Linked DNA regions of Neodiprion lecontei. The protein of the gene in region 2 interacts with the protein of the main gene of each other region in a pairwise test. Links are inferred from orthologs where the notes say so. Each region holds a gene or a part of one and is shown on either strand. Other genes may lie near its edges.

What was found.
Region 1: the proteins of proteasome maturation protein (region 2) and proteasome subunit beta type-6 interact in binary tests that used the Homo sapiens proteins (3 or more experiments, as listed by UniProt). The link is inferred for Neodiprion lecontei from reciprocal best matches to the Homo sapiens genes POMP and PSMB6.

Annotation. Positions count from the first base shown.
Region 1 is NC_060263.1:40,316,934-40,321,245, forward strand, and holds proteasome subunit beta type-6, read right to left. Parts: upstream 2,367-4,312; 5' UTR 2,276-2,366; coding exon 2,192-2,275; intron 1,951-2,191; coding exon 1,883-1,950; intron 1,747-1,882; coding exon 1,615-1,746; intron 1,320-1,614; exon of another isoform or gene 1,124-1,319; coding exon 849-1,123; exon of another isoform or gene 765-848; coding exon 637-764; 3' UTR 507-636; downstream 1-506. Other genes in the region: glycine--tRNA ligase, read left to right, coding at 85-195; nucleoporin Nup35, read left to right, coding at 2,931-3,041, 3,290-4,159. UniProt on the Homo sapiens protein: Component of the 20S core proteasome complex involved in the proteolytic degradation of most intracellular proteins. This complex plays numerous essential roles within the cell by associating with different regulatory particles.
Region 2 is NC_060265.1:6,325,679-6,329,786, forward strand, and holds proteasome maturation protein, read left to right. Parts: upstream 1-2,004; 5' UTR 2,005-2,159; coding exon 2,160-2,162; intron 2,163-2,525; coding exon 2,526-2,623; intron 2,624-2,753; coding exon 2,754-2,814; intron 2,815-2,894; coding exon 2,895-3,070; intron 3,071-3,181; coding exon 3,182-3,269; 3' UTR 3,270-3,368; downstream 3,369-4,108. Other genes in the region: 2-oxo-4-hydroxy-4-carboxy-5-ureidoimidazoline decarboxylase, read right to left, coding at 3,593-3,779, 3,865-4,015. UniProt on the Homo sapiens protein: Molecular chaperone essential for the assembly of standard proteasomes and immunoproteasomes. Degraded after completion of proteasome maturation. Mediates the association of 20S preproteasome with the endoplasmic reticulum.

The DNA.
Region 1 (4,312 bases), on a different chromosome or scaffold from region 2:
AAAATTGAGCTTTTGAAAACATCTTTTTTTTCCATATCTTTAAAACGTTTTGGGAGTTTAAACATGTGTTCTTCTCTGTTTCAGTTGGACGAGCTCCCAACCGTGGTGAAAGACTTGTCTCTATGTAAAATAACATGGGCTGAAGTAGCACAAAAGTATCCTAAGTTTGAACAACAAGAGAATGCAAAAGCATAGAAATCAGCATAATATTTAAAGTAAATTAGGCAATGCATGTTTTTTTAAAGTCATTATGCAAATGCAAATGAAATTATTAAGCCTTGGAAGCTGAATTAAGGGTTAGAAACAAAATTTTAACCTCGAGAATTGACCTTGAATGCTTGTTGGCATAATGGTATGTTATTTTTAAAATGCCTTGATAGAAATTTCATGAACTCCATAAATTATATTCATCAATAATTGAAGCAAGTGTTGACTCTCTTTCCATGCGAAATAAATTCTTAAGAATACAGCTGGAGATTGTGAGGTGAGTAAACGTGAAAAGTTGATTTCGTTTCCGTCATTTATTTACCAAAATTGAAGGAAAACCAGTTAAACAGATTACAGCTGAACAGCTAAAACAGTACACAGGGCACTTTAAGACATGTAATGTAATAAATGGTTGTAGAAATAATTTATTTATCCCTCGTAGAATTGAGGCAGCTTATTACCGAGGATGACTCGTCTTTCAACGCCTTCTTTAGTTATAACACCAAGTCTTACGACTCCACCACTGCTACCGTCACGTGACATGGCCAATGACAGTGCTGCAAAAAGAAATAAAGGAATGCAGTGATTGAAAGGAGATGAAACACACCAAACATGGGGCAAATAAGAAATGAATGACTTACTGTTGCTGACCAATTCTATTGTCTGATCCTTGGTCATGTTGGGCTTATAATGCGCATCTACGTAACCGTAAACGTAGCTTGAACCAGAGCCACCGATTGCAATTGGTTGGCGCACGCACATGCCTCCCAAAGGAATGCTGTAAACTTGACCACCTTTACGACGATCCCAGCCAGCTACCAAAATGCCTGCCATAAGGGAGTCTCGATAGTTGTAGCACAACTCACGAAATACATTTGCACTGGTCTCGACTAAAGGTGGTTCACCAAGTTCCATTCTGAGAATTCAAAACACGAATTTGATTATCACAGTGGAATTTTTAGCTTTAATTTCCTCAAATATTTATTGACAGGTCCCAGAGATGAAAAACATACAGCACGTGAGGTATTAACTAGGATCCCAAAGTGATTTTCCCAAGACTTACAAGTAGTTCTTTCTGGTCCACAAATAATTTGCAGATGTTTTGTTCAATTTCCCATATTCATAAAGTCATTTGAAACTTTGATTAAAATTCTTCAGCATATATAAACATATTGCAAATAATAAAACTATGTGGCTTCAACTTTTTTGTTTCATTTATAAAAGCTTAAAATTATTTGTGGATCATAACGAGTAAAATATTGATTATCCTTATCAAACAGTGCTACAAAACATTTGAAATGTATTAAACTCCAGTTTACTACTCTGAACCCCACGCTTTGCAGATAAATTAAGAATTATATATCTCCAGTAATTCGAAGATAATGACAATCTCGTTGATAGACTCACTGGTGGAAAGCCAGGTGGTACGAAACTATATCTGAGATAGCTTGGGTGTCTGCAGCAGAGCCTGAACGACAGCAATAAATGTGATCCGTCACTTTGGTGAGCTTGTCCGTGACTCGATTGGCGATGTAAGCGCTGAAAATCAGTCAGTGAAATGTTATTTTGTGCCTGAAGAGGACAAATAACCAAATTTTTTCAAGGTAAATTTACTTCAAGAATCACAGAAAATAAAAATGAGAAGTTTAGATCTGGGTTACATTGAACAACATACCCTGTAGTGGTTCGTGAATCAGCACCGATTACTACACCGCCTTCGAATTCACAAGCCATGATTGATGTCTGGAAAGAGGAATGAATAAATACCAATTTTTAAATGAGGAAAAACAAGATGTGTCGGTTGCTTGTTTTCGGAGGTGCAAGAAGACTTTTCTTAAGCGTTTACATCCATTGAAAATACTAATCATGGGTGATGGTCAAAGAATTACATGCACCGTCATTCTAACCTAAGTGAACGTCATATAATAATTTCAAACTTTCTGGTACGCTAAACGGCTGATTTTTAACTCGAAGGCGAACTTACGCCGGTACTGTGTTCGGCTGAAAGCCAATCCGGCACCATCGAATCCATGGTTTTTGATTGAAAGGGGGCTTCGACAAATGCCATACTCCCAAAATTTATCCGTAATATTTTAGCGACGTTTAATATGTTCTGTAATTCTACCGACAACTCCGTGGTCACTGTTGCGACGCCACGAAAAAAGTTACCTAGATAGATCTGAGAGTCGCTGTGTTATTACAATGACAATCTCATTCTCGCGTAACGGCGAAAACCAGACGACCAATGTCATGTAGTACTTCTACCTATCCGACCGAGCAAACTCACCCCTTTTCTTTTTATATTAAACAAATGAACGGAAAGAGTTCAAATTTCGACACTGCATCACTCTTTCATAGCGGATTTGAGGAAAGTAACTCATACCTGGAAATCGTAAAAAAAAGTGTGGTTTTTCTTGAAGTATTGTAACCCATGGTTAAGGATATGGAGGGATAAACTCCATACTTCACCGTTTAAAATTTTCGGCTGTTGATTTTGATTGCGATCACTTGTCAAACGTATTTATTTATATCGAGAAGAATATTTTACAAGAGATCAAGGTATGATGAAGTTTCAGAAATAGCTCAAGTCTAACATCCGAGCATTTCTCTTTCTACGAAGTATAAAAACTAATTATTATTTAGATTATAACCTCTTTTGTTAGCCAACTTTACCTGTATTGTGTATTTCTGATGGCAAATTGAATGAATTTGTGTATTTTTAGATGGAGCCCATGACTCTTGGATCTCCTGTTGGAAGTCCAGTCCAAACACCAGGAAGTCCAGGACCAAACTCCACATATCTACCTAATTTCCTATTGGGAGATGCTAATCCTGTAAGAATCTTAACAACTCGAAGTCATCTTGTAACGACATTTCAATTTTTTTTCTCAAAAAAATAATAATTCTGTAATTCTTCAGTTCTGTAAACTCCAAAATTTTTAAGAACGCAAACCTGTAACCTTGTTCATTCACTTGCAATTTATTTGTTTTGCTGTAAGCCTAGATCTCTGTTTGTATTTTACAAGTGCGAATTCTACCAAGCAGCATCTCACTTATTCGTATTTATTTTGTTCTGCTTCAGACCGCTAGATTAAATATAATGAGTCCCCAAGGTACCCCAAGAAATACACAATTCGGATCTATTACCAGTGGAGGCTTATCATCACCTAGTTCGAACTACTGCACTCCAGACTACCGTACGAATCGCCAAAAAGCCATGTTTGGTAATGTAACGAGCCCTAGTGGTCCACAAATCAGCTCACAGGGGCAATCCGGTGGTCCTCCAACTAGAGGACTTTTCGATACACTTGAAACTTCACAGTCAATGGTGCCGCAGAGTCCCAGTGTGGGTCAGAATGTTACTAGTAATCAGTCGAGAGTGTTGACGGGATCAAATTTGAACAACACTTTGTTCTTGGATAGTCCTGCAAACCTTTCTCTTAACGAACCGTTGCAAGGGCTTCAGCAATGGGTCACAGTCTTTGGTTTTCCTCCAAATGCTATAAACGCCGTATTGTCTCATATATCCAGCAGAGTCCGTGTAGTTGAGAAACGTGGCGCTCCTCACGCTCAGGGTAATTGGATCCATCTAAAATGTGCGTCAGAGCAAGATGCACACAGAGCTTTGGCGTGCAATGGCAACATTGTTTCAGGCTCTACAATGATAGGCGTTGTTCCTTGCACAGATGAGGGAGTAGTTTTGGGATCAGAAAAAGATAACCTTTCCAAATTGAGCAGTGGCACCAGGTGCTTTTCTACATCAGATAGAATAAATTTTTCATCACCTGATTATGCGAGTAGTTTACCACCTACTTCGCCAAGAATACAGAATGCCCGTCCTTTAGCGGTAGGCTATAACCAACATTTGAGCCCCCAAGCAGTTGTAATGCCTCAAAACGTGCCACAGAAGTCGACAGGGTTCTTCTCAAAAATTTATGAATACATTTGGTAGCTCGATGCAATTCCCCCATACTGCGTTTATTTCGCAACTCCATTCGGTTTTTACTCTTCAATCTGACGAATTTTAGTATAATTTTGTACGGTTGTTTTTTTGTTCGCATCAAGTGATAAATATTAATTTTTGTAATTGAGGGTGCAGTAAAGT
Region 2 (4,108 bases):
CAGAACTTACATTACCGGTTGAAAGTATTTGACCCAGTCAGTCAATAAATTTAATGCAAGGTACTTTTATAATCTCGACGCTGAGTCTCTCGCGTTGTTTCAAAGTGAAACGCCTGACGCCATGGCCGACGGCAATTCGGTAAGCGTCTCGCGTCGTCTGCAGAGACGAAACTCCGTAAAATAGAGTTTGGCCAGATATTGGCACAGAGTTATTTAGTAGACGACTCTGCCGCACCGAGCGCACTTGATGCGCGGTCCTCTCTGAAAACACAAAATGGCGTCGTAAGAATGACGTGCCAGCATCTGTATCCGTTGATCCTTGGGTTTTTTTGGCACTGCTACAGGGTTGACGGAAGATTGAAATGTAAGATGCCGTTTAATAGTTCGTTGTGTTCAAGCTTCTCAAGAACGCCTTTTTCTATCTACCGGCCTGTAAATCAGGGTATCTTTGATATATGGCTGAAAAACGACGAAGCTGTGATAGAAAATCCCAGTTTGTTTCAGGATTGCTTTGTGAGTATTTCTCTGAGAGGACTCTCCCTCCCTGTCTGTTATTTGAATCTAATGAATAATAATATTTAAGAGAACCGAACATAAAGTACGCTCGGTGCGGTGAAGCCTTGTACTAAATGACTCTCTGCCAATTGCTAGCCCACTTCTTACTAGTGAGTACGGCACTCGGGCAGTGAACCGTGCATAGACAAACCACGGCACCGCAAGTGACAGTTTTATCTAAAATTGGATTCTTCCGAACTTCTTGCTGCAAGTCGATACTCATTGTCAGTATACGATTCTTCATTCCTCATCTTATCGCATTTTCCTGCAACGTTCTAATTCTATATTTATACTGCGCATTCTATCATTACGAAATAATTGTCATGCAAAAACGCAAGAGGCGACCATTTACAAATTGCCGAATGTTATTGGTATACTCATGTATCAGGTATGCCAAGAGATTATCTTGAAAGTTCACAGTTGGTCACGAACTCTCTGTTCGCACCACTCAAGTTTTCAGTTTGTTTATCGCAGGCTGGCCATCCCATCTTTAATTTCAAACTGTGAAAAGCCGTAAAATGATTGCATCGATGACGACGACGATTACATTGTCATTTTATTTACGGGGAATTCCCTGTCAAAACAAAAATGTCGACGATTATGTTTCCGTTTTATTTACGAGGCATTTCCTGTCAAAATATAATCGTCGTCGTCGTCGATGCAATCATTTTACGGCCTTTCACAGTTTGAAATTAAAGATGGGATGGCCAGCCTGCGAGAAACAAACGACGAATTTGAGTAGTGCCGAGTCGGCGGTGAGCAACTGCGAACTTTCAGGATAATCTCTTGGTGTGAAAAATATAGTAAGTTTTGAATCGATTTAGAACTTTTGACATCTGTTAATGGTGATCTGAATTATGTAATTCGATCAATCAATTTTCGAACATAATATGAAAAATGAACCGATCATTAGATTTGAAAAAATATGCAGCACATATTCAGTTCTCACGCTTATGTGATTAGTATTCTATATCCTGCGTATCTGCAGTTATTAAAATTAAAATGCGTGAATAAATGTTCTGTTCTATTTTTCTTCCAGTGAAACTCGTATGCCTCTTCAACGTCAGGTCTGAAAAGATGCACGTACGAAAGCTGCGTCTAATGAATGGAACGACCTATAGAAGGTAAAAAAAATTCTAAAGTTATTTTCTGGTCATTTAAGGTGCAGTACATTTGTATGTGAATTTTTTGTCCAGAGCTGCGATTAATTCACGCGAATCAATCGCGCCTTTAGCGCGTCAATTTTGCGAACGTCACACGAAAATCGTATTTATAGTCAGAAATATAAATCTCGAATAGTAGCAATTCATTATGTGGCAAATGTAATTTGCATTGTCAGCTAAGTTCGTGATTGTAAATAAAGGTTAGTTGTTGACAATGGTTTTTACTTACCACCACGAATCTCGGCAAATGAGTTTCAAAAGTTTGTTGCCAGAGGGCGTTTTCACGCCTCAACTCAGCTAACTTCACACCATTACCGCTCATTTCGCGATCAGTGCTCGTGTATAGCGTGTTATATTTCACCGCGGCTCTTCGTCAAGTCACGAGCGAACGAAATATTATTAAATAAGCAACCCCAGAAGCTGTTTGAAAAGTAATTCAATATGGTAAGACTAACTCCATCATTTTATTATATATTTGCGATACTTTAATATTTTTCTCCACGTGATTATTCGGCCAGTTCGTCGAATTTCTCGAACGTGACATTTGCAATATTTTTATTAAGGTTATGTTTACCCTCGTATTAATGACAAGTGCATCTTTTCTACATCGATGAATAAGTACTGAAGCTTTGTTTAATACGCTGTGATCCTATGTGAATATATCGTTAATAAGAAATCTAGCCGCCTGTTTCATTTCACGATTCGCATTTTTCTGTCATTTAAAACGTCCATAGTTACGAATTAGGTTAGGCGAAATTATCCTTCAACAGCAAATCAACAAATTTCTGCTCACACTTTTCCGCTCAGAGTTTTGGTCTACCTTCCGTGAAACCCAAGCCCTCGGCTGCAGATATAATCAGCATCCCCGACGACACGCATGGTGTTCCAAATGCACTTGTTTCAGGGTAAGTCACAATCAAGTATAAAGATATTTGTCATTGTTCCATTGGTTGATTTTCATCAGTATTCGCTTTTCGCCGTATAACAACTTTCTCAAAAAGAAGGAGAATAGTTGAATGAAATTTAATTGCACAGGCTATCTTCAACAAGAGCAAATCTTGGATTTTCACATCCTCTGCAAGCCTCCGAGCAAAACGTAAGTCGTAGTCAGACTGACTATTGCTTCTTTATACTAAGGCATTTACAGTTTTCACATCTTTTTATTCTGATCTCCAGTATGTGCAGAATAAATTGCGCATGGATATGGTTATGCTGAGAAACACGCAAGGACTTCACGCGCCAATGCGTCTAGCCATGGAGCTCAAAGCCGCTGACAAAGTTGGGAGACTACCGTTTCTTCCATCTTCTGGCCTCATGCGGGATGTTATTCTTGGTAGAGACGAAGAAATTGGGTAAGAGCTCTGATGACTGTGGATCACGGACCAAAAACAACGCAGCTTTGGATCTGAATGGAATTTTATCTTGCGTCAAACAAGTGACGACATTAATTTTACAATTCACAGATTCGAAGACATCTTCAACAACGCTGAATTTAGGGAACAAATGTGTCAGCCTCACGCGATGGTTGAAAAGAGTTTGGGAATTCTCTAAACATCGATTGGATCCTTATTTTTAAGCTTGTAATATCATAATTTGCACTCTGTTATTGTGCTCAATGGCAAAGGCAATTAATGAATACTTTTTTCAATATCTGTGCATTTCTTTTTATTTGATATTTACGAATGAATCCTCGTTTGCATGATTAAAAAATTTCGTCAAATTGTCGAACAGTGGCTTACGCAGATACTTAAGAATAAATATCAATTAATCACGTTACATGTATGTAAGATTTTTAATCCGCATATTATCTCCGAGCAGAAAAAGTAAAAATTGTCCATGTGTATGAGACAAGTGAACAAATTACTTTAACAAATTTATCGAGCATCCGACCAGACGACGTCTAGCAGGCGAATCCTGCATATCTTTTTGACTTCTTGAATCCCGACCTCAAGTTCCGTCTCGGGAGAATTGTTCAAACGATTTTCTATGCCGCTCAGAATCGCTGCCACTTTATTTTCCCGGGCACATATGACAAATGGAAAGTGAAATTTTTCCTTGTACCTGAAATTTCAAACAACGTATCGACCTTTTTTTTCCCTCGTGTAGCAACTGAACAAGATATTTTAAAATTGGCGTTTTTACTCACATGGCATTGAGATTCGCTAACGTTTGTTTTTCTTCTCGCGTCATCTCGTCGAGTCCTGCACACTTTTGTTCGTTCTGTGATTCGGTGGTCAATTTTCCCTCGGCCAATTTACCCGCCAAATCTGGATGCTTGATCAGTACGTTTTCCTTCTCTGAAAACCAATTCATAGACACGTTGACCGATATTCTTACAAAACAAACGGATTCGGACTTGAAACCTGCATTTTACGTTTCGAAAAACTTTC